Linked DNA regions of Anolis sagrei. The protein of the gene in region 1 interacts with the protein of each later gene in a pairwise test. Links are inferred from orthologs where the notes say so. Each region holds a gene or a part of one and is shown in the gene's direction. Other genes may lie near its edges.

Region 1 (7,448 bases):
GAGATCAGGCATGGGCAAACTTCAGTCCTCTATCTATCTATCTATCCATCCATCCATCCATCCATCCATTTATCTATACAACTAGATATAGGAAAGGGGAAGAGATACAGCTGGTAGATAGATAGATAGATAGATAGATAGATAGATAGATAGATAGATAGATAGATAGATAGATAGATAGATAGATAGATAGAACAGGCATGGGCAAACGTCAGTCCTCCATCTATCTGTCTATCCATCCATCCATTATCTATACAACTAGATATAGGAAAGGGGGGAGATATATAGTTGGTACATAGATAGATAGATACAGCATGGTTAAACTTTGCTTCTCTGTCGATTTCCATGTATCTATCTATCATCTATCTATCTATCTATCTATCTATCTATCTATCTATAAACACAGACATAGGGATATATACAGTTGGCAGATACTAGATATATAGATAGATCAGGCATGGACAAACCGGTCCTCTATATTTATCTATCTATACAAATATATATATATATAGAGAGAGAGAGAGAGAGAGTTGGTAGATAGATCTATAGATAGATCTATAGATAGATCAGGCATGGGCAAACTTCAGTCCTCTATCTATCTATCTATTCCCTATATATATATATATAGAGAGAGAGAGAGAGAGAGAGAGAGAGAGATACAATTGCTAGATAGATCAGGCATGGGAAAACTTTTTTCCTCCAGATGTTTTGGACTTCAACTCTCACAATTCCTAACAGGCAGTAGGTTGTTAGGAATTGTGGGAGTTGAAATCCAAAACAGTTGAATACAAAAATATATTATTTTATGTTTATTTCGAATATTTGTACCTCACCCTTCTCTACCCTGGAAGGGGGACTCGGGGCAGCTGAGATAGAAGAAAGAGATGGGTGGATAGATTAGATAGATAAATAAATAAATAGAAAGTCAGTTAAAATGTTCATAATAAAACGTAAAAACAATTCACATCACAATTTAATATATTATGTTGGCATAGGGGTAAGAGATACCTTTGGATAATGGTTTTAGGGATCAGGTGGGGGGGGGGGGTGCCAACAAGCTCTGGCATGCCATTGTAGAGGCTGTCCTGGATTCAAAAAGAAAAGGCAGACTTGTCTGAGACCACAGATCATTCCTAAGCTTATAAAACCAAAGAATCTATATGGGAGGATATAGATTGGTGTTCTCTCAATTTGTTTCAAGGAAACCTCTGCATATGTAGCATCCTTTCATGTTCTAAGTATGAAAACCATAAAATCAATATGTGTCAAGATGGTAATCAAGTAGCTTGACAGGTGTGGGGAGCCCTGCCGTAAAATGAATTGTCCACACTTGTAATTGCACTGCAGCGGAAGTGCTAGTCCACAGCTGTTTGCCATATTGAAATGTATTCACTTGACTGAAACAGACCTCTGGCCAAGGGGCTTATTTTGGGCCAGAGAGAGAGAGAGAGCAAGTTTAAACTCTCCAGGAAACTTCATTTCTAGACTCTTTGGATCTGAATCCAGTGCACACGGGTTTCTGTCTATCCCTATTAGCACATTTCTTCAGAGACACCCCAGTGTGAAAGGCATCTTGATCTGAGGGATCTCTTTCATTGTTTCCACAGGCTACTTTTACACATCATAGAACTGGTCCAAGTTATCCATCTTCTAAATAAAAAATCAACAGTCGCTCCAGGACAAGACTGAGACATCTCTTTTCAGCACTAGTTAAACTATAAACTATTTTGCTGACAGACATGAGGAGGCTGGTAAAGATTGTATAAATGAAGTTGTGGTTTTTAAAGGCGATTGTTTTGAAATATATGGAGCATGACTCTTGGAGTGAGACTGAGAGCTCCTATTTGACAAGAAAATAATTCCAGGATAGTCTTAGATTTGTGACTAGCTTTATAACAATCACTGTTTTTGTTTAAAAGTTGGAAAAGAGCACAAAATTACTTCATCGAAATCAATTCTCTGTATATGTGGTACAGTAAATAGCTGTACACCCAATCCACCAAAATGCTGGGGAGTAAGAATTCTAATATTTAGCAAGGGGAAAAATATAACATTTTTATGGCACATCACATATGTTACCTCAATAATCCTTATAACCTAGTAAACTCAGCTGATGTTATTATTCCCATATTGTGAACAGGAGGAATGCTTAGGCCAGGGATAGTGGCTTCCCTAAGGTCATTTTATGTCTTCAAGGCTGAAGGAAGTTTAGAATCATGATGAACTTCCCATATTATAACTCTTTTCTCACAGTTCATACTCCTGCAATTCAATATCATGCAGGCTTACTGAGAAGTAAATCCCATTGAATGTAGTGAGAATTCCTCCCTAGTAAATATGTTTAGAATTGTATCCTTAACCAATATCCTGCACCAGGGAAACTAGCACTTAAAAAAAAACCTCTTGAGGCAATGAAGCAGAGAAGATTTCATTTACCTTTTTTACTTGCCAGGAAAAGATATCCTGAGAGTTGCAATATAAAATATTTATGCAGAATTCTCCCCATGGATTTTGGAGAGAAATGTGAGGATGCGAAGCTTATTTTCCCTGAGCTGCTGGGTCCAGTGAATCCAGTATTTAATATGGCCCTGATATCCCAGGCTTGCTCCCAGCTTGAGACAAGGAAAGTTCATAAGGCCATATCACACATTAGAAAACAGCTTATGCTGACGATTCATGGAAATGAAAACTAATATTCAAAAATATACCTGAGATAAAATAGCCTTTAGGGGCAACCATAAAAATCAGTGGGTTTAAATTAAGTCTTTTCCAGCTGCAGCTTTGTTTTGAACCTTCTTGTGATTCTGAAGTGTGTGTATGTTTGTCTTGGGGTATTGCAGTTTTAGCTGAAAGGTCTTGAGGGTCCTTGGAGAAACATCTACAACCTCATCAAATAGCTGGTTCTGGACCTCCATGTAAAGAGGTTCTTAGTCTCACCATATACATCTTTAAACCATGTGTAAATTGTCTCATTGATGACTATGAATGTAGGTGTATATTTGTGGCGGGAAGCTCAATTGGCCAGGCTTCTCTTTAGTCAGTGTCCATGTTGCATTAAATAGACTTGTGTCCCAGATACTGGCCTACATATGAGGAAGGAGGTCCCAGGACTAAATTGTTTACTGTGACATGTGATGGGCTATTGTTCATCAGTTCATGAGTGAGATCATGGAAAGGAAATTTGATGACTGTGTTGAAATGAAGAGAAGAATAAAGACCAAAAAGTCTGTATTGTTCATAAGAAGTTCCATCATGCTGACTCTTTTCAATGAGACATCTCACAACAGTGTCAGATAGCTGCTAAGGTCTCACAACCAGTCCCTAACCTAACTACCTGTCTCTGGTCTCTATTCTAGTAGAGCTTCTGAACTCAAGATTTTGGGGGTTTCCATTAGTGGGAGAACATGTGCAAAGGGAAGTGTGGAGAAACTGGAACCAGTTTACCACCTTTTTCCTAAGCAGCATGGTTTCAGTGGCAGCTGAACCTGAGGAACAGTTCAAAATTTTAGTCTAAAATGTAGCAGAGGTATCCAAGGTGCTGAATGGTGTTTCCAAAACAGCTTTGGACATTGGATAGTTCTTTCAAATATAGGGTTAGAGCCTGGACTAGATTCACCACTCTTGCTGAAAGGGGACACATTTGATGCCAGTATGAGTATACGGAGCTTTAGTCAAACCATTCTGTCCTCTGGAAGGTGAACAGAAGAATTTATGCAGCAGGAGATACAACCTAGTTCTAGCTGCCACCTCTGCCTGCTTACTTGGTCACTTTTAGTTCTAGGTGACATAACAAAGGCAATGGAGTCTGCTGGGTCCATGCAACCTTGAAGAATGGTGTAAATGGGCAAAGCAGAAAGGATTGAAACACGAGACCAATTAAGCAGGTCTTGATTTCTCAGTTGTGGCACATTGAGCTCCTTGATCTGGTGGCATAAAGTGAAAGATCAGAACCAAGTTCCATCCAGAAAGATTTGCCCAGCTTTTCCCCATTCAACAATTTCAACTCGACACTTCTGTCCAGTGGAAAGGGCAAATTGTTTGGAGAAGGCCCCATCCCATGTTGTTCATGGAGGACAATATCATGGAAGTAGGAGGAGATGCCTTCTTTATCCAGGGTCTGCTGCTTAGGAGAGAATCAATTGGGGAGTGAGGGAAGTCACACAGAACCAAGAATCATCCAGAAAGATTTGCCCAGATTTCCCCTACCCAACAACTTCAACTCAGCACTCCTGTCCAGTGAAAGGGGCAGATGGTTTGGAGAAGGTCCAGTCCCATGTTGTTCATGGAGAACAATATCATGGAAGTAGGAGGAGACGCTGCTTAGGAGAACCAATTGGGGGAGTGAGGGAAGTGACACTCTGAGCCGCATCCTGCACCACCCAAGAGAGGTTTAGTCAATGGAAGTGCCCATTAGCCATTGCTTCCCCGTCCTTCCTTGGGTAGTAGTGATGAGGCCCAGAGGGAAGGAGCAGCAGGAGTGGCTCCAGCTGAGAGTGAGAGGGATCTATTGTGGGGGGAGCCAAGAGAGTTGGGCTGCCAGAAGTTGAGAGGAGGACCCTGGCTAAGAAGGCATGAGGACAGCCCCCCTGGGGTCAGGGCTTGGGTCCTCCGAGTGGCCGGTGGCAGGGCTGTGAGGCTGAAGCGGGGAGGCCGCTGCCTGTGGTCAGTGCGCCGTGCAGCCTAAGCCAGCCCCCGGCTCACGTTACACACTCCTGTATTTATAACCTCGGCGAGCCGCTTCCCCCGCGGAGGAGCAGCCACAACAGCAGCAGCAGCAGCACTCGGGACCACCTCCTTTTTGCCGGCAGAGCCGAGCCCCGCGCCCCTTTCCCCCCACCTCCGAGCCAAGCCAGTGAAGCCACCGCCGGGACCGGTTGCGCGCCGAGGACTTGGATTATTATTCCCGGTTGCGCTCCCTTGGCCCGCCTCGCCTTGCCTGGACGTGCCCTGCCTGGCTTCGGGGGTGGCTGGCAGGAGAGCCGAGGGGCAGGAGGAGGAGGAGGAGGGGGGCGAGGAGGACCCGGGCACCAGCGCCTGGTGGTTCTGGGCCCGCGGCGGGCTTTCGGGGCCGGAGGCGCGCGGGTCCCGCTTGGTGCATGCCATGGACCACACGCTCTTCGGCTGCCTGCGCAGCCCCCACCATGCCCCCGGCCAGGGCTTGCACCCCTTCTCGCAGTCCGCCCTCGCCTTGCACGGCCGCTCGGACCACCACATGTCCTACCCGGAGCTCTCGGCCTCCTCCTCCTCCTGCATCATAGCCGGGTACCCCGGCGAGGAGGGCATGTTCGGCAGCCAGCACCACAGGGGGCATCACCACCACCATCACCATCACCACCATCACCAACAGCAGCAGCAGCCGCAACAGCCGCCGCCTCACCAGGCTTTGCAAACGAATTGGCACATTCCGCAGATGGCTTCGCCGCCGCCGCCCCCTCCACCTCCTCCTCCGCCGCCCGCCTCGTCCAGGCATAGCCTGTGCCTCCAGCCCGACTCGGGGGGACCCCCGGAGCTGGGCAATAGCCCCCCGGGACTGTGCTCGAACTCGCCGAGCTTGGGAAGCAGCACCCCGACGGGCGCGCCGGGAGATTATGGCAGGCAGGCGCTGTCCCCGGTGGAGGCCGAGAAGCGCGTCGGCAAGCGGAAAAGCGACAGCTCAGGTAAGGAAGGGCACACAAGGGGCTTCTCCCTGCGAGACGGGAAGGGGAGGTGGAGAGGGGCAGCCCGGGATGGGCGAATCGCCCAAGACTCCTCCTGGCCACTCCTGGCCTGGTGTCACTTTTGGGGGGCGCAAAAAGCTTTGTATGACGGCTAAGGCATAGGCCATGCGGTTGAACCATGAAATCGCTCGTCCACACTTCCCAACAGGCCAGAGGGGGGAACTCTCGGGGAGTTTGGACTCGTGTGCGCCTCTGACACCTGGGTTTCCCTTCCGGGATTCCCCACTTGGAAAAGAGAAGCGCTTTCCCCACTCCATCAGCCAGTTTATTTCCCTAGTTTCTTTTTTCAGCCAGTGCTTAACTCTCGAGAAGTTGGCATTTCTTCTTTTGGTTTATTTTATACAGGATGTTTTAATGCTATACTTCTTTGACTGGGAGTAAATCCCAATGAGATAAATGGGATTTACGTCTATGTAGACATGGATTCCTATCCATTACAAAGCTTTATTTGGTTTGTTTTGTAGAGGAAGCCATAATCCTATGGCTGGGATAAATCCCAATGAAATAAATGAGGTTCATGTCTATATAGCAGGCATGGCCAAATTTAAGCCCTCCACGTGTTTTGGACTTCAACTCCCACAATTCCTAACAGCCTCAGGCCCTTCCCTTCACTTAAGCGGCTGAGGGGGGAAAGGAAGGGCCCTGAGGCTATTAGGAATGGTGGGAGTTGGAGTCCACAACACCTGGAGGACCCAAGTTTGCCCATGCCTGCTATATAGGCACAGATTTGTCTCCACTACAATGTTGTAACATACACGTCCCTCTCCTCTGTCGTTTTTACAAGTTATGTGTTCTGTATTTAATAGCTTCTGTAATTTCCAGCTTTTACATGCTACATACAATTTTATATACAGGGTCCTGAACATGTTTGGAAAAGGATTTGAATTATTAATCTACTAATTAGTGAAATCTAAGAAAATGTCCCTCTATTATAATCAATTTCAGTTCCTTACTGAAGCATATTTACATAGGATACACACTCACATACTCAGTTAAGGATTTATTGTGCTAGTAATATGCCTGTTTGATTTTGAAAGTAAATCGAGGTGTCACTTTGGCTATATATATATGTGTGTACTAGGGTTGGATTAAATGTGCTACCAGCATTCCAAGCAGTTTTGTATGACAGATGTTGGCCCCATGATAAAACTGCTAAAGGTAAGTTATACAGACAGGCACATGCAAAAGAAAAGGAAGTTGTGGTTAGAAAGAGAAAGTAATAGCATTTCCCTTGTATTATTAGAAATACAAGGGAAGCCATGATCATGTTTCCTTTAAATGCAAGCTGAATAATGAAAAAAATAGTTTTCTTTCTGCATTTTCTATATTTAACAGACTTATTTCTATTTTCAATAATTTCCCTATACCAATTATAACACTTTTTCAGAAGTTGACAGGTTCTCATACTACATACCTAGTGGTTTATAAAGAAATTGGTTTTTCCAAATCATCACTAAATATGTAACATGTATGAAGAAAATTCAAATTTCTAGGGCATATAATTTTAAATTGGCAGATGGGTAAGTGTAATAACTTAAAATTCTATTACCTAAAAATGGAAAGGAAATTTTAATTTCACTTTGTTGTTATACTTCAAGTCTCAAATATGTAAACTTAAATTACAATGAATTACAGTATAATCCACAACACAATGAAGCAATTTTCATTTATTTGATATGTGAATATTGTTGTTCTTAATATTACCGCTTTATACTCATACTCATAATGAAA
Region 2 (7,718 bases), on another chromosome or scaffold:
CTCATAGGGCTTGTTCTCCAGACCCTTGATCATTTTAGTTGCCCTCCTCTGGACACATTCCAGCTTGTCAATATCTCTCTTGAATTGTGGTGCCCAGAATTGGACACAATATTCCAGGTGTGGTCTAACCAAAGCAGAATAGAGGGGTAGCATTACTTCCTTAGATCTAGACACTATGCTCCTATTGATGCAGGCCAAAATCCCATTGGCTTTTTTTGCCGCCACATCACATTGTTGGCTCATGTTTAACTTGTTGTCCACAAGGACTCCAAGATCTTTTTCACACGTACTGCTCTCGAGCCAGGCGTCACCCATTCTGTATCTTTGCATTTTATTTTTTCTGCCAAAGTGGAGTATCTTGCATTTGTCACTGTTGAACTTCATTTTGTTAGTTTTGGCCCATCTCTCTAATCTGTCAAGATCGTTTTGAATTCTGCTCCTGTCCTCTGGACTATTGGCTATCCCTCCCAATTTGGTGTCGTCTGCAAACTTGATGATCATGCCTTCTAGCCCTTCATCTAAGTCATTAATAAAGATGTTGAACAGGACCGGGCCCAGGACAAGACCCTGCGGCACTCCACTTGTCACTTCTTTCCAAGATGAAGAGGAAGCATTAGTGAGCACTCTCTGTGTTCGTCCACTTAACCAATTACAGATCTACCTCACTGTAGTTTTGCCTAGCCCACATTGGACTAGTTTCCTTGCCAGAAGGTCATGGGGGACCTTGTCGAAGGCCTTACTGAAATCCAGGTACGCTACATCCACGGCATTACCCGCAATGTTGAAGCCTTTCAAAAATGTTATTTATTTATTTGTCGTGTCAGAGCAACCAGTCCATTATATTACATTTCTAACAAAGCAAACAAACAGACACAATACAAAACTTGTGAATTTGGTAGTTGGTTAAATGTCCTTTGACCAGTATCTGGCCACTTGGAGTGCTTCTGGTGTTGCTGCAAGAAGGTCCTCCATGGCGCATGTGGCAGGGATCAGGCTGCACTGCAGCAGGTGGTCAGTGGTTTGCTCTTCTCCACACTCGCATGTCGAGGACTCCACTTTGTAGCCCCATTTCTGAAGGTTGGCTCTGCATCTCGTGGTGCCAGAGCGCAGTCTATTCAATGCCTTCCAGGTCGCCCAGTCCTCTGTGTGCCCAGGGGGGAGTCTCTTATTTGGTATCAGCCATTGGTTGAGGTTCTGGGTTTGAGCCTGCCACTTTTGGACTCTCGCTTGCTGAGGTGTTCCAGCGAGTGTCTCTGTAGATCTTAGAAAACTATTTCTAGATTTAAGTCGTTGACGTGCTTTCAGCTTCTGGACAGCTTCCCAGATTTTCTTGAAGTGTATGGCAGTAGGAGTGGCCTTCTTACATTTATTTATTTGTCGTGTTAGGGTAGCCAGTCAATTATATTACATTTCTAACAGAACAAAGAAAACAAACAGACAAAATACAAAATTGGTGAGTTTGGTAGTTGATTAAATGTGCTTTGACCAGTATCTGGCCACTTGGAGTGCTTCTGGTGTTGCTGCAAGAAGGTCCTCCATTGTGCATGTGGCAGGGCTCAGGGTGCATTGCAGCAGGTGGTCAGTGTTTTGCTCTTCTCCACACTTGCATGTCGTGGATTCCACTTTGTAGCCCCATTTCTTGAGGTTGGCTCTGCATCTCGTGGTGCCAGAGCGCAGTCTGTTCAGCGCCTTCCAAGTCGCCCAGTCTTCTGTGTGCCCAGGAGGGAGTCTCTCATTTGGTATCAGCCATTGGTTGAGGTTCTGGGTTTGAGCCTGCCACTTTTGGACTCTCGCTTGCTGAGGTGTCCCAGTGAGTGTCTCTGTAGATCTTAGAAAACTATTTCTAGATTTAAGTCGTTGACGTGCTGGCTGATACCCAAACAGGGGATGAACTGGAGATGTCTCTGCCTTGGTCCTTTCACTATTGGCTGCTAGTTTTGTTGGTTGTTAAAAATGTTAACAACCAACAAAACTGGAGCCCAATTTTGAAAATCAGGTCCACAGTGCTCCCTCTGGAATTGTCTTCTCACAACCAGCTCCTCCATTGCTTTTCCTTCTACTTTTCCTTCCCAGCGATGTTAGATCAGCCACCTCACTTCTCACCTTCCACAAGAGAGGGAAAACGTGGCTTTGTGACCAAGCCTTTAGAGAACCTGTGCAATAGGTAGACTTGGAACAATGTGCAATGATCATTGGAAAAGCCTGGATTACGTTCGTGGATTGCATGTTTGAATGTTGTTGTTGTTGTTCATTCGTTCAGTCGTCTCCGACTCTTCGTGACCTCATGGACCAGCCCACACCAGAGCTCCCTGTCGGCCGTCACCACCCCCAGCTCCTTCAAGGTCAGTCCAGTCACTTCAAGGATGCCATCCATCCATCTTGCCCTTGGTCGGCCCCTCTTCCTTTTGCCTTCCACTTTCCCCAGCATAATTGTCTTCTCCAGGCTTTGCTGTCTCCTCATGATTTATTTATTATTTCGAGGTTTTATATACCGACCCTCTCACCTTCAAAGAGGGATTCGGACCGGTTCACAACATGTGTTAACATACAAAGAATATACAATAACAACACAATGCCACTTCATAACACGATTAAAATATCAGCACCATACACATTAAAACATTATCATCACAGTTAAAAGAGCCAAATCGTCCAACACCATCACAATACCATTCATCATCCTCCTTTCATGTGGGCAAAGAATTAAATCAGTTGTCAAATGCCGCATTCCACAACCAGGTCTTTGTAAGTTTCCTGAACGTCATGAGGGAGGGGGCAGTTCTGATCTCTAATGGCAGGGAGTTCCAAAGTCGAGGGGCCACCATCGAGAAGGCCCTGTTCCTCGTCCCCACCAGCCGTGCTTGTGCAGGCGGTGGGACCGAGAGCAGGGCCCCTCCAGACGATCTTAATGGTCTTGATGGTTCGTAGGGGAGAATACGTTCGGAGAGGTAAACAGGGCCAAAGTACTTCAACTTTGTCTCTAGTACCCTTCCCTCCAGTGAGCAGTCGGGCTTTATTTCCTGGAGGATGGACTGGTTGGATCTTCTCGCAGTCCACGGCACTCTCAGCACTTTCCTCCAGCACCACAGCTCAAAAGCATCTATCTTCCTTCGCTCAGCCTTCCCTAAGGTCCAGCTCTCACATCCGTAGGTTACTACAGGGAATACCATGGCTTTGACTAGGCGGATCTTTGTTTGCATGGGCTTACTTTACTTACTTAGGCGATCCCTCGTTTTCCGAGGAGGATTGTCTTCCAGTGTTCTTGTGGGTCCGTATGTGGCTGTGGAGCCCTATTCTTGCTCTGCATCTTCTTCTGCAGTGAGGGCATTGGTTTCCAGGTGGAAGGCGGTCTCGGTCGGGGTTGGCTTGACGCGCCTTCCTCTTGGCACGCTTCTCCCTTTCACCCTCCATTCGTGCCTCTTCAAATTCTGCAGCACTGCTGGTCACAGCTGACCTCCAGCTGGAGTGGTCAAGGGCCAGGGCTTCCCAGTTCTCAGTGTCTATGCCAGAGTTTTTAAGGTTGGCTCTGAGCCCGTCTTTAAATCTCTTTTCCTGCCCACCAACATTCCAATTTCCAGGTTCTTGTGGGTTTTTTTCGGGCTATAGAGCCATGTTCTAGAGGCATTTCTGACGTTTCTGATAGAAACGTCAAGAGAAATGCCTCTAGAACATGGCTCTATAGCCCGAAAAAACCCACAAGAACCTAGTGATTCCAGCCATGAAAGCCTTCGACAATACATTATTCCATTTTCCGTTCTTGAGTTCGAAGTAGAGCAACTGCTTTGGGAGACGGTGGTCGGGCATCCGGACGTGGCCAGTCCAGCGGAATTGATGGTGGAGGACCATCGCTTCAATGCTGGTGGTCTTTGCTTCTTCCAGCATGCTGACGTTTGTCCGCCTGTCTTCCCAAGAGATTTGCAGGGTTTTCCGGAGGCAGTGCTGATGGAATTGTTCCAGGAGTTGCATGTGACATCTGTAGACAGTCCATGTCTCACAGGCATATAGCAGGGTTGGGAAGTCAATAGCTCTATAAACAAGCACCTTGGTATCCCTACGGATGTCCCGGTCCTCAAATATTCTCTGCTTCATTCGGAAAAATGCTGCGCTCGCAGAGCTCAGGCGGTGTTGTCAGTGTCGGTGTTGACTTTGGTGGAGAGGTGGCTGTCAAGGTAGCAGAAATGATCAACATTTTCTAATGTTACACCATTAAGCTGTATCACTGGCAATGGAGCGGGGTTGGCTGGTGTCTGCTGGAACAGCACTTTGGTTTTCCCGATATTCAATGACAGGCCGAGCTTCTCGTACGCTTCTGCAAAGGTGTTTAGAGTGGCTTGTAGGTCTTCTTCTGAATGTGCATAGACGACGTTGTCATCAGCATACTGGAGTTCTATAACAGATGTTGTAACCTTGGTTTTGGCTTTCAGTCTGCCTTAAATGGTTAGTGTAAATGGGGCCTCTGTGAAAGAAACTGCTTTTCCCACATTCTTTTTGCATCTCCCCAGCCCTTTGTTCCTCCATGTCATGTAGCTGGAAGGTTTGTTTGATTTTGGAAGCACTGGCATTGGAAGGAGGGAAAGAAAAACACAAACTTGCAGTGCTGGGTTGCAGAAGCATGCCTATAGTAAACAATGAAGCCAAGCTTGAGCATTCCTTCCGGCATCCCTCCCAGGAAACGAAAACGAAACTGATACAAGTCTGGCAGGGTTTCCTGCCCCACCTCTCTTGCTGCTGCCCGACTCCAAGCAAAGGCTGAGACTCCAGCAGAGCGGTTGCCCTGCTCCCTGGGTCGGTGGTCCTCCCTGGCCAGCCATGGCCCACTCCCTGCAAGAGGAGGTGGAGGTGAGTGGCCACCTCCCTTCAGGACGTCCAGCAAGAGAGGCGCTTAAGGGGAAGGGCCCTAGAGAGGTAGAGAGTGCAGGATTCATGCAGGATGACCCCACTTCAGACTCCCATGGCTTCTCTTGGGAAGAGAAGGCTCCAGTCCTTGTAAAACTACAGCTCCCAGATGCCAGAGCACTGAGGTCAGCTCAAATGGTGGCAGAATGAATCCTGGAGCTATAGTTTAAGGTGGGACCAGCTCTCTTGGGAAGAGAAGGCTCCAGACCTTGTAAAACTATAGCTTCCCGGATGCCAGAGTACTGAGGGCAGCTCAAAGGGTGTCAGAATGAATCCTGGAGCTATAGTTGTGGTGGGACCTGCTCTCTTGGGAAGAGAAGGCTCCAGACCTTGTAAAACTACAGCTTCCCGGATGCCAGAGTACTGAGGGCAGCTCAAAGAGTGTCAGAATGGATCCTGGAGCTATAGTTTGGGGTGGGACCAGCTCTCTTGGGGCGGAGAAAGCTCCAGACCTTGTAAAACTACAGCTTCCCGGATGCCAGAGCACTGAGGGCAGCTCAAAGGGTGTGAGAATTAATCCTGGAGTTATAGTTTGGGGTGGGACCAGCTTTCTTGGGGCAGAGAAGGGTCCAGACCTTGTAAAACTACAGCTTCCCGGATGCCAGAGCACTGAGGGCAGCTCAAAGGGTGTGAGAATTAATCCTGGAGTTATAGTTTGGGGTGGGACCAGCTTTCTTGGGGCAGAGAAGGGTCCAGACCTTGTAAAACTACAGCTCCCTGGATGCCCAAGCACTGAGGGCAGTCAAAGGGTGTCAGAATGAATCCTGGAGCTATAGTTTGGGGTGGGACCAGCTCTCTTGGGGCAGAGAAGGCTCAAGATCTTGTAAAACTACAGCTTCCCGGATGACAGAACACTGAGGGCAGCTCAAAGGGTGTCAGAATTAATCTTGGAGTTATAGTTTGGGGTGGGACCAGCTCTCTTGGACAGAGAAGGCTCCAGACCTTGTAAAACTACAGCTTCCCGGATATCAGAGCACTGAGAGCAGTTCAAAGGGTGTCAGAATTAATCTTGGAGTTATAGTTTGGGGTGGGACCAGCTCTCTTGGACAGAGAATGCTCCAGACCTTGTAAAACTATAGCTTCCCAGATGCCAGAGCACTGAGGGCAGCTCAAAGGGTGTCAGAATGGATCCTGGAGCTATAGTTTAGAGTGGGACCAGCTCTCTTGGTGCAGAGAAGGCTCAAGATCTTGTAAAACTACAGCTTCCAGGATGCCAGAGTACTGAGGGCAGCTCAAAAGGTGTCAGAATCAAACCTGGAGTTATAGTTTGGGGGTGGGACCAGCTCTCCTGGGGCAGAAAAGGCTCCAAACCTTGTAAAACTACAGCTCCCTGATAACAGAGCACTGAGCGCAGCTCAAAGGGTGTCAGAATGATTCCTGGAGCTATAGTTTGGGGTGGGACTAGCTCTCTTGGACAGAGAAGGCTCCAGACCTTGTAAAACTACAGCTTCCCGGATGCCAGAGCACTGAGGACAGCTCAAAGGGTGGCAGAATGAATTCTGGAGTTATAGTTTGGGGTGGGACCAGCTCTCTTGGGGCAGATAAGGCTCGAGACCTTGCAAAACTACAGCTTCCCGGATGCTAGAATATGGAGGGCAGCTGAAAGGGTGGCAGAATCAAATATGGAGCTCAAAGGGTGTCAGAATGAATCCTGGAGCTATAGTTGGGGTGGGACTAGCTCTCTTGGGGCAGAGAAGGCTCACGACTTTGTAAAACTACAGATTCCAGAGCACTAAGGGCAGCGCAAAGGGTGTGAGAATGAATCTTGGAGCTATAGTTTGGGGTGGGACTAGCTCTATTAGGTAGAAAAGGGTCAAAACTTGCAAAACTACAGCTCCCAGGGTCGCAGAGCACCGAGGGCAGCTCAAGGAGTGTCAGATTGAATTCTGGAGCTATAGTTTGGGGTGGGACCCGCTCTCTTGGGGCAGAGAAGGCTCAAGACCTTGTAAAACTACAGATTCCAAAGCACTAAGGGCACCTCAATCGATTGAATCCTGGAGTTGTAGTTTGGGGCGAGAGCAGCTCTCTTTGGCAAAGAAAGCTAAAGACCTTGTAAAACTACAGATCCCAGAATACTGAGGGAAGCTCAAGGGGTATCAGATTGAATGCTGGGGTTATAGTTTGGGGTGGGACCAGCTCTCCTGGGCAGAAAAGGATCAAAACCTTGTAAAATGACAGCTCTCAGAGTCCCAGAGCATGGAGGACAGCTTAAAGAGTGTCAGATTGAACCTGGGGGTTATAATTTGAGATGAGAGGGAAGAGAAGGCTCAAGATCTTGTAAAACTACAACTTCCCGGATGCCAGAGCACTGAGAGCAGCTCAAAGGGTGTGAGAATGAATCCTGGAGCTATAGTTTGAGGTGGGACCAGCTCTCTTGGGGCAGAGAAGGCTCAAGACCTTGCAAAACTACAGATTCCAAAGCACTAAGGGCAGCTCAATGGGTGTCAGATTGAATCCTGGAGTTGTAGTTTGGGGCAGGACCAGCCCTCTTGGGGAAAAAAAACTTAAGACCTTGTACAACTACAGATCCCAGGATGCCAGAACACTGAGGGCAGCTCAAGGGATATCAGATTGAATCCCAGGGTTATAGTTTGGAGTGGGACCAGCTCTCCTGGGCAGAAAAGGATCAAGACCTTGTAAAACTACAGCTCCCAGGGTTCCAGAGCACTGAGGGAAGCTCAAGGGGTGTCAGATTGAATCTGAGGGTTATAGTTTGGGACGGGACCAGCCTTCTTCGACAGAGAAGGCTCAAGACCTTGTAAAACTATAGCTCCCAGGGTCCCAGAGCACTGAGGGAGGCTCAAGGGGTGTCAGATTGAATC
Region 3 (7,500 bases), on another chromosome or scaffold:
TCTAGCAATTAACTGCTCCTCAAATTACCATTACAACACAATTACATTAAAACAAACTGACATGTGAAGTGTTAAGGGCTCAGGGATGTCAAAGAGTGCATCTACATGGTACAATTAATGGAGTTTAACACTACTTTAAACTGCCATGGCTCAATGGTATCATGGGATTTGTCATTTTAGAAGAGCTTTACCCTTCTCTGACAAGGAGCACTGGTGCAATATTAAACTATAACTCTTAGGATTTCATAGCATTAAGTTGTGGCTATTAAAGTGGTGTTACACTGCAATAATTTTACAGTGTAGATGCACCCTAAGTCATTCTGCTGATTGATGCCAGACATAAAATTATCATTTTTTCTGTTTCCAACTGAAGGTAAACAGCAAATAAAGCTGATCAAATTATTTTGAGATGTGATGGGGAAATGCTTCATTTGCCTTTGTGATTCAAACAAAATATAGTACAGTAACTATCCATTTGCTGCCCTGAGGCTGCCTTGTAATCTATTACGGTTGGCCTGTCATTATGTTGCAGAAGATTCATCTTAATTTGTTTGGATGACAAGCTCTTTGGAATGTATGGTATTTATTTTCCTAGACATTGTGGCCATCCAAAAAGGGGAATGTGGAAGTGATCAATCGATGTCATGCGCTGCCTCCTTGTGACCAGGCAATCAGTATGAGAGCAAAGTGCTTCTTCATTGCCTGTTGCCTCAGCTGTGCTGTTTAATTCTTGGGACACACAGTATTCTGGTGGAGTCCCTGATTCTTTTTGAACATGAGCAGCTCTGGTTTAATGCTGAGCAGGAATAAAGTGCTACAGCTGGCATATGAGGGAAGTGACAAGGGCTCCTGGCTACACACAAAAGAACATCAAAGGATCTGTCCTATTTATTTCCTGTGTGTTTGTGAGATTATTGCCTTTCTTTGTTTGCTGCCAATTTGACAAAATGGTTTCCATTAGTGCAGGGAGGGTGGGGGGGAGGGATATAGATTTCTCCCTTTCTGTGCATCTTCAAAATCTGGAGCTTGGTAGGATGCTATGGAACAGACTTTGAAGGAAATTTGGAGGAGGAGGGGGATTCCATGGGGAGGACGTTCAATAAGATGCTCCTTGTTATAGGGCCGGATGTCTTCAACACATGTTGAAGGGTTCTGTCCTGCCCCGGTCCTGTTCAACATCTGTATTAATGACTTAGATCAGCGATTTTCAACCTGTGGGTCCCCAGGTGTTTTGGCCTACAACTCCCAGAAATTCCAACCGGTTTACCAGCTGTTAGGGTTTCTGAGAGTTGAAGGCCAAAACATTTGGGGACCCACAGGTTGAGAACCACTGACTTAGATGAAGCCGTTAGAAGGCATGATCATCAAGTTTGCAGACAACACCAAATTGGGAAGGATAGCCAATACCTCAGAAGACAGGAGCAGAATTCAAAACAATGTGAACACATTAGAGAGATGGGCCAAAACTAACAAAATGAAGTTCAACAGTAACAAATGCAAGATACTCCAATTAGGTAGAAACAATGAAATGCAAAGATACAGAATGGGGGACGCCTGGCTTGAAAGCAATATGTGTGAAAAAGATCTTGGAGTCCTCATGGACAACAAGTTAAACATGAGCCAACAATGTCATGCAGCAGCAAAAAAAAAAGCCAATGGGATTTTTGCCTGCATAAATAAGAGTATAATATCTAGATCCAGGGAAGTCATGATACCCCTCTATTCTGCCTTGGTCAGACCACATCTGGAATACTGACACCACAACTGATGAGAGATGTTGACTCTAAGCTGGAATGTGTCCAGAGGAGGGTGACTCAAATGGTCAAGGGTCTGGAGAACAAACCCTATGAGGAGCAGCTTAAAGATCCAGGCATGTTTAGCCTAAAGAAGAGAAGGCTGAGAGAAGACATGATGGCCATGTATAAATATGTGAGGGGAAGTCATAGGGAGGAGGGAACAGGCTTGTTTTCTGCTGCCCTGGAGACTAGGACACGGAGCAATGGCTTCAAACTACAGGAAAGGAGATTCCACCTGAACGTTAGGAAGAACTTCTTGACTGTGAGACCTGTTCAGCAGTGGAAGTCCCTGCCCTGGAGTGTGGTGGGGGCTCCTTTTTAGGAGGCTTTTAAGCAGAGGCTGGATGGCTATCTGTCAGGGGTGCTTTCAATGTGATTTTCTTGCTTCTTCGCAGGGGGTTGGATTGGATGGCCCACATGGTCTCTTCCAACTCTGTGATTCTATGTCAATAATCACCATGCATCAATTTCATTGCTGGAATCTTAGAGGTTTTATGCAACATACATAGTTTATTTACTGTATTTGTATACCGCCTTTCTCAGCCTATCAGCAACTCAAGGTGGTTCATATCAAGAGGGGAGAAGCTTAGGGCCCCATGACTCCCATCATTCCTCTCCATTGGCAATACTAGCAAGGGCTGATAGGAATTTAAACACACTATTTGTAGGGCTGTAATTCTCAAGCCCTGGTCTATATACTGCGATCAAATGGCAGGTCTTATTGCTGAACTGCATTTGGAAGAAAGTACAGTAAAGTACAGTTAATCGGCACCCATGGAGATAGGTAGATGCTGGATAAATGTAGTTTCTGGTTGCTTGAGAGTTAAAATTAAAACTAGCCCTAACTAATATTATGCCCCATACTATTCAAGTGCTGGCTTTAGTCTATAAAGCCATAAACATTTACAGCCCAGTCTACCTGTCTGAACGTATCTCCTCCTATGAACCACTTCAGACACTAAGATCATCTGTGGAGGCCTTGCTCTCAATCCCACCTTCTTTGCAAATGTGGCTGGTGGAGATGAGGGACAGGGCCTTCTCAGTGGTGGAACTCCTTCCCTAGTGACATCAGACCAGCCCCCTCTCTCCTAACCTTCAGAAGAAGAGTAAAAACCTGGCTCTGGGAGCAGGCTTTTGAAAAACAAGGCAGTGCAGCAATTTTCAATATGGAATATATGCAATTGATCACGGATTAGCACTGGATATTCTTAGTGGGTCTGTAGATACTGTTGTAGGTTGTGTTTCCTCATCAGCTTCCCTATGTGATCAGTTGACTCAGGCCCATAGCCAGGATTTTCTTTCGGGGGGGGGGGGGGGCTGAATTTTTTTCAGGGGGAAGGGTCGGGGGGGGGGGGGCTGAGTCTGAGTGAAAGAGGGTCTAGCCTAGCAAACCTTTTGTATCATTACCCCAATACCCCCATGCATATGGGATATATTGAGTATGGTGATGAGATAATGATATGAATAAACATAACAGTTTAAGTAATGCACCAGTAAGGCCTTTTTGCGAACCACCATGAGAATTTCGGGGGGGGGGGGGGGGGGGGGGGCTGAAGTTCCCTGAGCGCCCCCCCCCCCCCCCCGCTACATGCCTGAGTGGTTCCCCGATGCATGGTAAGAAAACTTTTCCTCTGGGTGGATCTTTGTCTTTAGGTAAAGGTAAAGGTTTTCCACTGACATTAAGTCTAGTTGTGTCCGACTCTGGGGGTTGGTGCCGAAGAGCCGTCTTTGTCCATAGGCACCTCCAAGGTCATGTGGCTGGCATGGAGAGTAAAGACAAAGATCCAAGCTACAACTCCAAGGTAAGGTAAAGGTTTTCCCCTGACATTAATTCCAGTGTCTGACTCTGGGGTTTGGTGCCCCCCTCCATTTCTAAGCCGAATTGCGGGCGTTGCCCATAGACACCTCCAAGGTCATGTGGCCAGCATGACTGCATGGAGCGCCGTTACCTTCCCGGCAGAGTGGTGCCTATTGATCTACTCACATTTGCGTGTTTTTTCGAACTGCTAGGTTGGCAGAAGCTGGGGCTAACAGCGTGAGCTCACCCCACTCTCCGGATTCGGATTTTGTCTTTACCTTCCAAGAAGAAGCCAGGAGAGTAAAGACAAAGATCCATGCTACAACTCCAAGGATTTCGAACTGCTAGGTTGGCAGAAGCTGGGGCTAACAGCGTGAGCTCACCCCACTCCCCGGATTCGGATCTTTGTCTTTACCTTCCAAGAACAAACCAGGAGAGTAAAGACAAAGATCCATGCTACAACTCCAAGGATTCTATAGGAATGAGCCGTGGCACTTCAAGCGGTGTCAAACTGCGTTAATTCTACAGTGTAGAGGAGGCAATCGGAGGGGGTGTGTTGAGCGTGTGATGGTGCTGAGCTTTTCTTTCTCCAGAAAAAAAAACAACCGCATTCTTCCTTCCAGGGGGGTGGACCTTGAAGCGCCCACCCTTTCTCTCGATGCAGATTTTTCCTCTTGGCAGATTTGCCGCTCTTCCCCCTCCCTCCCTTCGCAGCGCTCTCCTCCTCCCTCGGTTTAGCGATTTGGTCCGCGTGGGCCACCGTAGCCGCGTCGGACTCTGGCTGGCTGGGAGCTGTCAGGGTGAATCCCGCAGCCAGACGCCGAGAGACGACGGGAGGGGAAGCACGGAGCGGGAGGGAAGAAGGGAGCCCCGAGCCTGCAAGGAAGGAAAGGAGGCGGAGGAAGGGCTGGAATGGACCCGCGTTGCGCCACCGCTTCCTCCCTCCCTCTGCATTTTTGAAATCCCTGACAGACTGCTTCTCCGAGTGGTTTGAAGGCTTCTCTCTCTCTCTCTCCCCGCACCGCCTCCTCTCCCTATCGCTCCCCGAAGCAGCTCTCTACGATTGGATTGGGAAGCCTTTCCAGAGGAGGAAGGCCGGGCTGCAGGGATGGACATCCAGGAGGGGAAAGCCTCTCTCCCGTCGTCCCTCTCCCGCCCTTAAAGCCAGGCTGCCTCTTCGCCCAGGTAACAAAGGTTTGGGATTCATTCCTGCCTGTCTCTTTAAATCAGGCATGGGCCAACTTGGGCCCTCTTTCCAGGTGTTTTGGACTTGAACTCCCACCATTCCTAACAGCCTCAGGCCCTTTCCTTTTCCCCCTCAGCCGCTTAAGCGGCTGAGGGGGAAAAGGAAGGGGCCTGAGGCTGTTAGGAATGGTGGGAGTTCAAGTCCAAAACACCTGGAAGGAGGGCCCAAGTTGGCCCATGCCTGATTTAAATCGAAATCTATAGATAAAAATAAGAAAATGTGCCTTCCTTCTGACGCTCTAAATTATATATATGTGTGTGTGTGTGTGTGTGTGAGTAGGGACAGAAATAAGGCATAGTGTATATGTGTGTGTGTATATATAATGCCTTGTTTCTGTACCCATATATATATATATATATATATATAGATAGATAGATAGATAGCCCTTCTGTCCGTTTAAATACACAAACACATATACAGGGACAGGAACAAGGCATCATATACACATTACATATATATACACACGCACACACACATACACATTATATATATATATATGATTGTGTATCTATATATTACTTACTTACTTAGGCGATCCCTCGTAGTCCGAGGATGATGGTCCTCCAACTTCGGTGTCCTGGCGGTGGGTTCGTAGGTGACTGTGGAGCCCTATTCTCTCTCTCTCTCTCTATATATATACACACACACACATTATGTATATATGTGTATATATATGTATAATATGCCTTTTTTTGTCCCTGTATATGTCTTCATTCTGTTTCTTTAGATGTCAATCTAACATATATGTATGTTCTTTTGTCCCTATATATATATATATATATATATGTATATATATAGTGTATATCCACATATACACTGTGCCTTACTTCTGTGCCTTTAAGTTTCATATATATGTGTGTGTTTATAATGCCTTCATTCTGTTCCTTTAAGATATATATCTATCTATATCTATATATATAGCCTTTTTCTGTCCCATATATATATATAAGGTAAAGGTAAAGGTAGTCCCCTGACATTAAGTCCAGTCATGTCTGACTCTGGGGTGTGGTGTTCATCTCCATTTCTAAGCCGAAGAGCCAGCATTGTCCGTAGACACCTCCAAGGTCATGTGGCCAGCATGACTGCATGGAGCGCCCCCCCCCCCTGCACAGCGGGCTAAACTGCTGAGCTGCTGAACTTGCTGACTGAAAGGTTTGGTGGTTCGAATCTGGAGAGTGGGGTGAACTCACGCTGTTAGCCACAGCTTCTGCCAACCTAGCAGTTCAAAAACATGCAAATGTGAGTAGATCAATAGGTACCGCTCCGGCGGGAAGGTAACGGCGCTCCATGCAGTCATGCCGGCCACATGACCTTGGAGGTGTCTACGGAGAATGCCAGCTCTTCAACTTAGAAATGGAGGTGAGCACCACCCCAGAGTCAGACACAATTAGACTTAATGTCAGGGGGAACCTTTACTTTTTATAAATATACCCACTATGTCTCCCTTCTGTCGCTACACACACACACATATATTCTTTCTGTCCCTTTAAATTAAAACACAGGTGCGCACACTATTTTAAAGGGACAAAAAGAAGGCAAACACATATATATAGTTTTCTGGTAGACTCTTCAGCTTTCTCCTCCTTATGCTTAAGGTTGGTTTATTCTCCCTCTGCGCTGCTGACTTGCAATTCTTGCCTTTGTGGGCAGGAGGAGTCAAAGGCACTGTGAATGTCTTCCAGGGAATTTGGAAAGTATTTGCTGAGCTTTTCTACCTTTACTGAGCTTTGTCACCAAAAGAATAAGAGGGTTTGAGGCCTGAGGCTTCTGCTTCTCTTGGCACCTGGTGATTTTCCCCTCCATCAAGAAGGGATAAGGGTAGGCGGGGTGTGTGTGTGTGTGTGTGCAAAAAAGTGTATATACGCTGAAGGTTGAAATAGAAAACCTGCATGAAAATGCTGCTGTCTTCATCTGGCTGCCAGACTTTGATTGTAGGGCTGGCTTCTGTTTTCTGTTATTGCCAGTTTAAAGACTGCAGCAAGGTGTGCATGCATTGTTACTTCAGACCACAATGCAGAATTATAACAGTTTGACATGACTTTTAACTGCCATGGCTCGCGCAGTAGAATTCTGGGATTTGTAGTTTGCTGTACTACAGCTAATAGGGTAGACTCTCCCTTGACTGGTGTCCATGTGGATTGGTAAATGTTGAATGCATGTAGTTTCTGGTTGCTTGAGAGTTACTATTAAAAATAAGCTTGATTCTCTAATCAAACCATACCATACTTCCTATTGATTGGATATTGAAATACAGTAACAAAAAGCAAATGAAAACATATGACAGTAACCTTAATGTAACACAGTTTTATTGTATTATTAAAATAATTTTGTGAATGAAGTATTATTTCTTTGATTTTTTGCCAGTTGCTTGAAAGTTCCAATTGTTTGAGTTATGGTTAATTGAGAGTTTACTATAATAATACATTTTCATAGAATCACGGAGTTGCAAGAGACCGCAAGGACCATCTTCTAGTCCAGAGTTTCCCAACCTGGGGGTCGAGATCCGGGGCAGGGGCGCTAGGGGGGTGTCAGAGGGGTCGCCAAAGACCATCAGAAAACACAGTGTTTTCTGTTGGCCATGGGGGATCTATGTGGGAAGTTTGGACCAATTCTATTGTTAGTTGGGTTCTGGATGCACTTTGATTGTAGGTGAACTATAA
Region 4 (7,686 bases), on another chromosome or scaffold:
TATGTTCAATTTTACCGACATTGAAGTCCATCAGCACTATCAGCTAATGGGGCTCCAACGCCAAGCTAGAGACCAGCCCAGCTAATTCAGGTAGGGAGACTGTTGAGCAGCGGGGTGGGTGGTACACCCACAGAATCCATTCTGTCCCAGCTGCCCACCTTTAAATAGACACATTCAAACTAGGCTAACTGTGGGACAGGGCATCTGGTCAGGGAGATGGAATCCCGATAAACCACTGCAACTCCTCCTCCTCCCCAGACCTAGCCTGCTGCTGCAGCGAGAAACTAGTGGTCAGAGACGGTAGAGATTTACTCCTCTGGCTTCATCCAGCCAAGTCTTGGTAATACATGCCAGGTCAGCTTGTTATTCCAGAATCAAATCCTGGATAATAGATGTTTTGCCATTTACTGACCTGGCGTTTAACAGCAGCAGTTTTAGCCTGGAGGGATTGCCATCATAGATATCCAAGTTACTTACCAGAGGAGACAGTCCAGGCCTGTTAGAAATCTACTGCCCTTCCTATGATGGTAGTCAATTTGTCTCCTCCTCCCACATCTCCTCCTGCCCTGAATTACCTCAGTGGTCTCTTCCTGGTCCCGGTCTACCCCTTCTACTGCATGCCTATGAATATGAAGATCATCATTGATGAAGACTTTAACTTAGGCCCAATCGTTATCTTAGGACATTAAGGTATTCTATATTAGTGAGGCTTATTGCACAATAATCAATTTTTTTAGCTCTGAAATTTAATGAGGTTAATGCAATGGGAGGGAAGCAAATAGGACTTTCAACCCCCCACTGACCTCAGAATGTGTTGTTATGTATGTAATATGTAAAATTTCATCTTTCCTGCTAGGTATGTGAAAAGCCAGCGACACACTGTCCAAGTAGACTACATTGAATACATGGATGAAGTGGCTTCTCAATTTGGAGTGAAGCCCAACGTTTGGTCTCTCCTTCTGACAGATCCCAAGCTTGCCTGGGAAGTGATCTTTGGACCATGCACCCCATATCAATACCGTCTGCAAGGACCGGGGAAATGGAATGATGCCAGGAAAGCAATCTTGACCCAGCATGAGCGGGTCCTGAAGCCCTTGAAAACAAGGCCCACTGATGACTCAAATACAGTCTTGGTGCCCCTTTGGTTAAAGATGGTTGGCCTTCTTGTTCTCTTTGCTGCATTATTTGCTCATTTTTAAATGGTAAAGATCTTCACTGACAAAAAGCAAGTGGAAGTAGTGAGACTCTATCTTCTTTTTAACAAAAAGATAGCATATATATATATATATATATATATATATATATATAACAACACAACTCAAAATCCAGTTAAGACAATGTACATTTTATATTAAATCATAGCTTCTAATAAGTGCAAACCTATCTTTGCCTACGTAAGAAGTTAAAAAATCATTCTTTTCTAACTTTTTGTATTATCTGTAATTAGCTATGATACTATTAGCTGGCATATTATGCTGACACAATAGTGGGATAGAATGGCTGCAGGCACCATGGTAGCATGGAGGTTTGCAGAAAATGTGATCTTTGTTGGGAGGAAGTTGACATGCCTGATCATAAGCTGCTTGGAAGACATTATTGATCTGGCAATGAAAGCAGTTTCTCTTCTGTTTCCCATATCTCCCACCTGGTATGTGCTATTCTCAAAGTTATAATGCTTCCAGCCACTGTACTATCAGTGTTTACAGAAATTGTACTTTTCTCATAAATTCCTATTTTCTATCATGGCTTTGTCAGCTCAGATGGTAATTGCAAAAAACTGGGAAAAATACAGTGGAATTTTCAGTTGTAGAACCAATAAATAAATAAATAATGGAATGTGACATTAACTGAAAAACTAAGCAAAAAAAGTGTTAGAAATGCTACAGCAACCTGGTTTTTCTTTATTTCTTTTATCCAGAAAAGCAAAAATATGTTTGTTCCTCCAACTACTCATTTAAGTTTATGGAATGATGAACTGATGACGCATGGTGCATGGAACGATGTATTGGTGATTTTATACAGTTTTATGTAATTCAACTGTGTGGTTGAGTTTGATTTTCAAATGAATGTGTTTTCCCCATTTCTGTTTATCTTTAATTTAATAAAATTACTGAGTAAAAAAAGAAATTAATGTATAGTCCATACTGAAAGCTAATACATATATTCATAAAATAATAACGTAGCCCTCTTTAAATGTATGTGTAACTTGCTTTATTTATTTCCTACTTCAGTCTTAGGTATCGCTTTCTTATGCAAAGAAGTTAGTCAGTTCTTTGTCCTCCCTTAGGAGTAGAAATCTTCGTGAGTCTCTGTATAATGCCCTTTCAAATGTAGTTAAAGAGAGTAGTCAAACAGGAACAAAAAACCGAGTTACAGAAGTTGAATCTTCCCTGCTTTTTGGAGTATGGAAAGGCGAAGGATCACCACTTCAATGCTTGAGGTCTTTGCTTCTTCCAGAATGCTGATATTTGTTCGCCGTTCTTCCCAAGAGATTTGCAGGATTTTTCGAAGGCTACTCTGATGAAATATTTCCAGAAATTGAGAGTGATGTTTGTAGATGGTCTATGTTTTGCAGGCATACAATACAGTTGGAAGGACAATAGCTTTATAAACAAGCATGTTCACTTTAAAATGATTTAGATTAAAATTACTAACATAATAACATGATTAAAATACATTCAAAGTTTAAAAAAGGTTAAAACACAGCACAAAACCTGGCATAATCTCTGTTCCAAATAGATCAGAGACAACTAGGTTATCAGTCTAACAACTGCACAAGTACATGTGGATATACTTACTTAGGCGATCCCATTAAGCTGTATTTCTGGCATTGGAGAGAGATTGGCTGGTGACTGCTGGAAAAGCACTTTGGTTTTCTCAATGCTTAATGACAGGCTGAGCTTCTCGTATGCTTCTGCAAGGTGTTTAGAGTGGCTTGTAGGTCTTCTGAATGTGTAGAGACGACGTTGTCATCAGCATACTGGAGTTCTATAACATGTTGTTGTAACCTTGGTTTTGGCTTTCAGTCTGCTGAGGTTAAATAGCTTGCCATCTGTCCGATAGATGATTTCCACTCCGGTGGGAAGCTTCCCGTCAACAAGATGAAGTATCATAGCGATGAATATGGAAAATAAATGTTGGGCCAATAACACATCCGTTTGACATCTGATTCCACCTTAGAATCATAGAATCAAAGAGTTGGAAGAGACCTCATGGGCCATCCAGTCCAACCCCCTGCCAAGAAGCAGGAATATTGCATTCAAATCACCCCTGATGGATGGCCATCCAGCCTCTGTTTAAAACCTTCCAAAGAAGGAGGCTCCATCACACTCCGGGGCAGAGAGTTCCACTGCTGAACGGCTCTCACAGTCAGGAAGTTCTTCCTCATGTTCAGATGGAATCTCCTTTCTTTTAGTTTGAAGCCATTTTGTCGTGCAGGGAAGCAGAAAACAAGCTTGCTCCCTCCTCCCTGTGGCTTCCTCTCACATATTTATACATTGCTATCATATCTCCTCTCAGCCTTCTCTTCTTCAGGCTAAACATGCCCAGCTCTTTAAGCCGCTCCTCATAGGGCTTGTTCTCCAGACCCTTGATCATTTTAGTCGCCCTCCTCTGGACACATTCCAGCTTGTAGAAATCTTCGTGAGTCTCCGAAATCTTCGTGAAATCTTCGTCATCTCTCTTCAATTGTGGTGCCCAGAATTGGACACAATATTCCAGGTGTGGTCTAACCAAAGCAGAATAGAGGGGTAGCATTACTTCCCTAGATCTAGACACTATGCTCTTATTGATGCAGGCCAAAATCCCACTGGCTTTTTTTGCCGCCACATCACATTGTTGGCTCATGTTTAACTTGTTGTCCACGGGGACTCCAAGATCTTTTTCACACATACTGCTCTTGAGCCAGGCATTGTCCCCCATTCTATATCTTTGCATTTTGTTTTTCCTGCCAAAGTGCAGTATCTTGCATTTTTCACTGTTGAACTTCATTTTGTTAGTTTTGGCCCATCTCTCTAGTCTGTCAAGATCGTTTTGAGTCACTTAAATGGGTCACTTTGGGAACCATTGCTGTCCAAGACTGTTACAACAGTTTTGGGTATGTGGATATATACCACCGAAGACAAAATTTTACTCAAACGGGTTTTTGGCTCTTTGGAAGAGCATACTTGTACGAAAGATTATGATTTTCAAATGGTTGTGAATGCCATTTGTTTCCCAAAAGGTTATGGAGATTTTGGTTTTTCAAAATATCCTGTGCCAGCAATGTCCCTCTGCAGTTTGCATTGGACAAACACTTCCATCCTAGGCCTCCTCCAACTAGCTATTTGGGCCTCCAACTCCCAGAATTCCTAACCATTGAAGAAGCTGGCGAGGGCTTCTGGGAGTTGGAGACCCACACTGCAGGAGAAGGCCTGCTCTATATGCAGGAAGGGAATGGACACAAATCAGGCGGTAGAACTGGAGAGGGAGGGAGTGAGGGGGAGGCGTCCCGATTCCTATCCTTCTCTCCCTGAGGCCGTGATAAGGCTCACATAAGGTATAACTATTTACTTCATTGACTGCCGACTCCTAGACTGTTACACGTCCGCCATTCCCATTCCCAGAGAAGGCCTCAACACCGGAAGCGGAACATATTTTCCCTTTTCCGCTTCCCGCTCTCGCTCGCTCTGTTTTCGGGGCAGGAGAGGCAAGCCGAGCAGCGTCATGCGCATGCGCAGTTCTTTTTTCTCCACTGCCATCTTGCCCGAAGAGGAGGAGGAGGAGGAGGAGGAGGCCGCCCTGAGGGTGAGTGCAGAGCTCCTCCTCAGACTTCTTCGGGAAGGGCCCGAAGTTGCTCCGGGAGGGGAAGGAAGGGCAAGGCAGGGCTGCCATGGCGGCTTTTGGGACAAGGCTCAACCCCCCCCCCCCCGGCCTGAGGACATTCAAACAAGGCTCTAATTGTGTTGTCGAAGGCTTTTATGGTCGAAAACACTGGGTTGCTGTGAGCTTTTTCGGGTTGTATGGCCATGTTCCTGTAGCATTCTCTCCTGACGTTTCGCCTGCATCTGTGGCAGGCATCCTCAGATGTTCTGTTGATGGTGAGGCAAGTGGAATGTCTATACTTCCTGACTGTGAGAGCCGTTCAGCAGTGGAACTCTCTGCCCCAGAGTGTGGTAAAGGCTCCTTCTTTGGAAGTTTTGAAACAGAGGCTGGATGGCCATCTGTCGGGGGTGCTTTGAATGCATTTTTCCTGCTTCTTGGCAGGGGGTTGGACTGGCTGGCCCATGAGGTCTCTTCCAACTATATGATTCTATCTCTCAGAGATGCGCCCAGCTCTGTTCAACATCTTTATTAATGTATTGTCGAAGGCTTTCATGGCCGGAATCACTGGGTTGTTGTAGGTTTTTTCGGGGTATATGGCCATGGTCTAGAGGCATTCTCTCCTGACGTTTCGCCTGCATCTATGGCAAGCATCCTCAGAGGTAGTGAGGTCTGTTGGAACTAGGAAAAAGGGTTTATATATCTGTGGAATGACCAGGGTGGGACAAAGGACTCTTGTCTGCTGGAGCTAGGTGTGAATGTTTCAACTGACCACCTTGATTAGCATTTGATGGCCTGACAGTGCCTAGAGCAAACTTTGTTGAGAAGTAATTAGATGTCCTTGTTTGTTTCCTCTCTGTTGTTGTGCTGTTGTAATTTTAGAGTTTTAATACTGGTAGCCAGATTTTGTTCATTTTCATGGTTTCCTCCTTTCTGTTGAAATTGTCCACATGCTTATGTATTTCAATGGCTTCTCTGTGTAGCCTGACGTGGTGGTTGTGAGAGTGGTCCAGCATTTCTGTGTTCTCAAATAAAATGCTGTGTCCAGGTTGGTTCATCAGGTGGATTTATGAGGAAACACAACATACAAACTATCTACAGACCCACCAAAAAATCCAACAAATGCTACGTTCAGTAAAGGACAAGAGGGATCCTCTCACTTCTGCAGGAGTCTACCGTGTACCATGTAGCTGTGGACAAGTCTACATAGGGACCACCAAACACAGCATTGCCCAAACACGAATCAAGGAACATGAAAGGCACTGCAGACTACTTCATCCAGAGAAGTCAGCCATAGCAGAGCACCTGATGAAAAACATGAAATGCAAAGCTACAGGATGTGTGACGCTTAGTTCAAGAACAGTCCATGTGAGACAGATCTTGGAGTCTTCGTGGACAACAAGTTGAACATGAACCAACAAAGCCAATGGGATTTTGGGCTACATCAAAAGGAATCTAGTGTCTAGATTGAGGAAAGTCATGATGCCTTTGTATTCTGCTTTGGTTAGACCTCAGTTGGAATACTGTCTCCAATTCTGGGCACCACTATTGTTGTTGCTGTTGCTGTTGTTGTTGTTGTTATTATTATTATATTTATTTCTATCCCGCTTTTCTCCTGCGATGGTACTCAAAGAGGCATAAAGCATGTAAAATCAAGACAATTACAAACAAAAAATACAAACATGAACTCCAACTAATGAGAAATTAACAATTTAAGACATTAAAACATTAAACTCCCATTACCTATGACAGCTAGCATAAAACTAGCATAGCAACATAAATTAAAAACATACCAGTTAAACCCATGTAATGTCCTATTAATTTATGCCATGAAACAAACCAGTTACTGACGGTCTACTATATAGTTGACATATTGCACATCAGAATGCCTGTCAATCTACTGGTCTTCGTTGGGGAGACCAGTAGAAATAACTGGTCTCCCCAACTTGCTTCCGAAATAACAGCAGTGAGGGGGCTGTACTAACCATTTTTGGGAGGGAGTTCCAGAACTGCGGGGCCACCATTGAAAAGGCTCTCTCTTATTCTCACCAGCCGTGCTTGAGATGATGGTGGGACCGAGAATAGGGCCTCTCCTGATTACCTTAGGGCTCATATGGGCTCATAGGAGGAGATGCAGTCCAATAAGTACGCTGGGCCCCAACTGTTTAGGGCTTTATAGATTAAAGCCAGCACCTTGAATTGCGTCCACAAACAAACTGGCAGCCAGTGTAGTTGTTTTAGGAGAGGGGTAGTTCTTTCCCTATACTCTGCTCCTGTGAGCAATCTGGCAGCTGACCTTTGCACCAGTTGAAGTTTCTGAACGCCCCTCTAGCACAGACCTACCTAGAGTGCGATACAGTAATCTAAAATGGATGTGACTAAGGTGTGTATCACCATGGTCAGTTCCACCATGGCCACTTCAAAAGCAATATTGACAAGCTGGAAGGTGTCCAGAGGAGGGCCTCTAAAATGATCAAAGTTCTTGAGATTGTAAGTATCTGTGAGGAGCGGTTTAAAGAGCTGGGCATGTTTAGCCTGAAGAAGAGAATGCTGAGAGGAGACATGATGGCCATGTATAAATATGTGAAAGAATGTCATAATGAAAAGCGAGAGCAGGTTTGTTTTCTGCTGCCCTTGAAACTAGGACTTGGAGCAATGGGTTCAGATTATAGGAAAGGAGATTCCACTTAGACATTAGGAAGAACTTCCTGATTTTACGAGCTGTTCAGCAGTGGAATTCTCTGCTTCAGAGTGTGGCAGAGGCTCCTTCCTTGGACATTTTTAAACAGGCTGTATGGGATACTGATTATGCTTTCCTGGAAGGTGGGGGTTGGACTAGATGACACATATGGTCTCTTCCAGCTCTATGATTCTGTGAATGCCCAG

Evidence for each region.
Region 2: the proteins of MEOX2 (region 1) and SHFL interact in binary tests that used the Homo sapiens proteins (3 or more experiments, as listed by UniProt). The two-hybrid records come from large-scale screens. The link is inferred for Anolis sagrei from reciprocal best matches to the Homo sapiens genes MEOX2 and SHFL.
Region 3: the proteins of MEOX2 (region 1) and MAPKBP1 interact in binary tests that used the Homo sapiens proteins (3 or more experiments, as listed by UniProt). The two-hybrid records come from large-scale screens. The link is inferred for Anolis sagrei from reciprocal best matches to the Homo sapiens genes MEOX2 and MAPKBP1.
Region 4: the proteins of MEOX2 (region 1) and PRKAB2 interact in binary tests that used the Homo sapiens proteins (3 or more experiments, as listed by UniProt). The link is inferred for Anolis sagrei from reciprocal best matches to the Homo sapiens genes MEOX2 and PRKAB2.

The regions. Positions count from the first base shown.
Region 1 is NC_090026.1:96,461,761-96,469,208, forward strand, and holds the start of MEOX2 (homeobox protein MOX-2), read left to right. Parts: upstream 1-4,437; 5' UTR 4,438-5,101; coding exon 5,102-5,657; intron 5,658-7,448. UniProt on the Homo sapiens protein: Mesodermal transcription factor that plays a key role in somitogenesis and somitogenesis and limb muscle differentiation. Required during limb development for normal appendicular muscle formation and for the normal regulation of myogenic genes.
Region 2 is NC_090022.1:172,322,729-172,330,446, reverse strand, and holds the start of SHFL (shiftless antiviral inhibitor of ribosomal frameshifting protein), read left to right. Parts: upstream 1-4,699; 5' UTR 4,700-4,809; coding exon 4,810-4,839; intron 4,840-7,718.
Region 3 is NC_090021.1:288,090,442-288,097,941, reverse strand, and holds the start of MAPKBP1 (mitogen-activated protein kinase-binding protein 1), read left to right. Parts: upstream 1-4,480; 5' UTR 4,481-4,779; intron 4,780-7,500. UniProt on the Homo sapiens protein: Negative regulator of NOD2 function. It down-regulates NOD2-induced processes such as activation of NF-kappa-B signaling, IL8 secretion and antibacterial response. Involved in JNK signaling pathway.
Region 4 is NC_090024.1:132,489,007-132,496,692, reverse strand, and holds the start of PRKAB2 (5'-AMP-activated protein kinase subunit beta-2), read left to right. Parts: upstream 1-4,675; 5' UTR 4,676-4,785; intron 4,786-4,953; exon of another isoform or gene 4,954-5,078; intron 5,079-7,686. Other genes in the region: FMO5 (flavin-containing monooxygenase 5), read left to right, coding at 857-1,199. UniProt on the Homo sapiens protein: Non-catalytic subunit of AMP-activated protein kinase (AMPK), an energy sensor protein kinase that plays a key role in regulating cellular energy metabolism.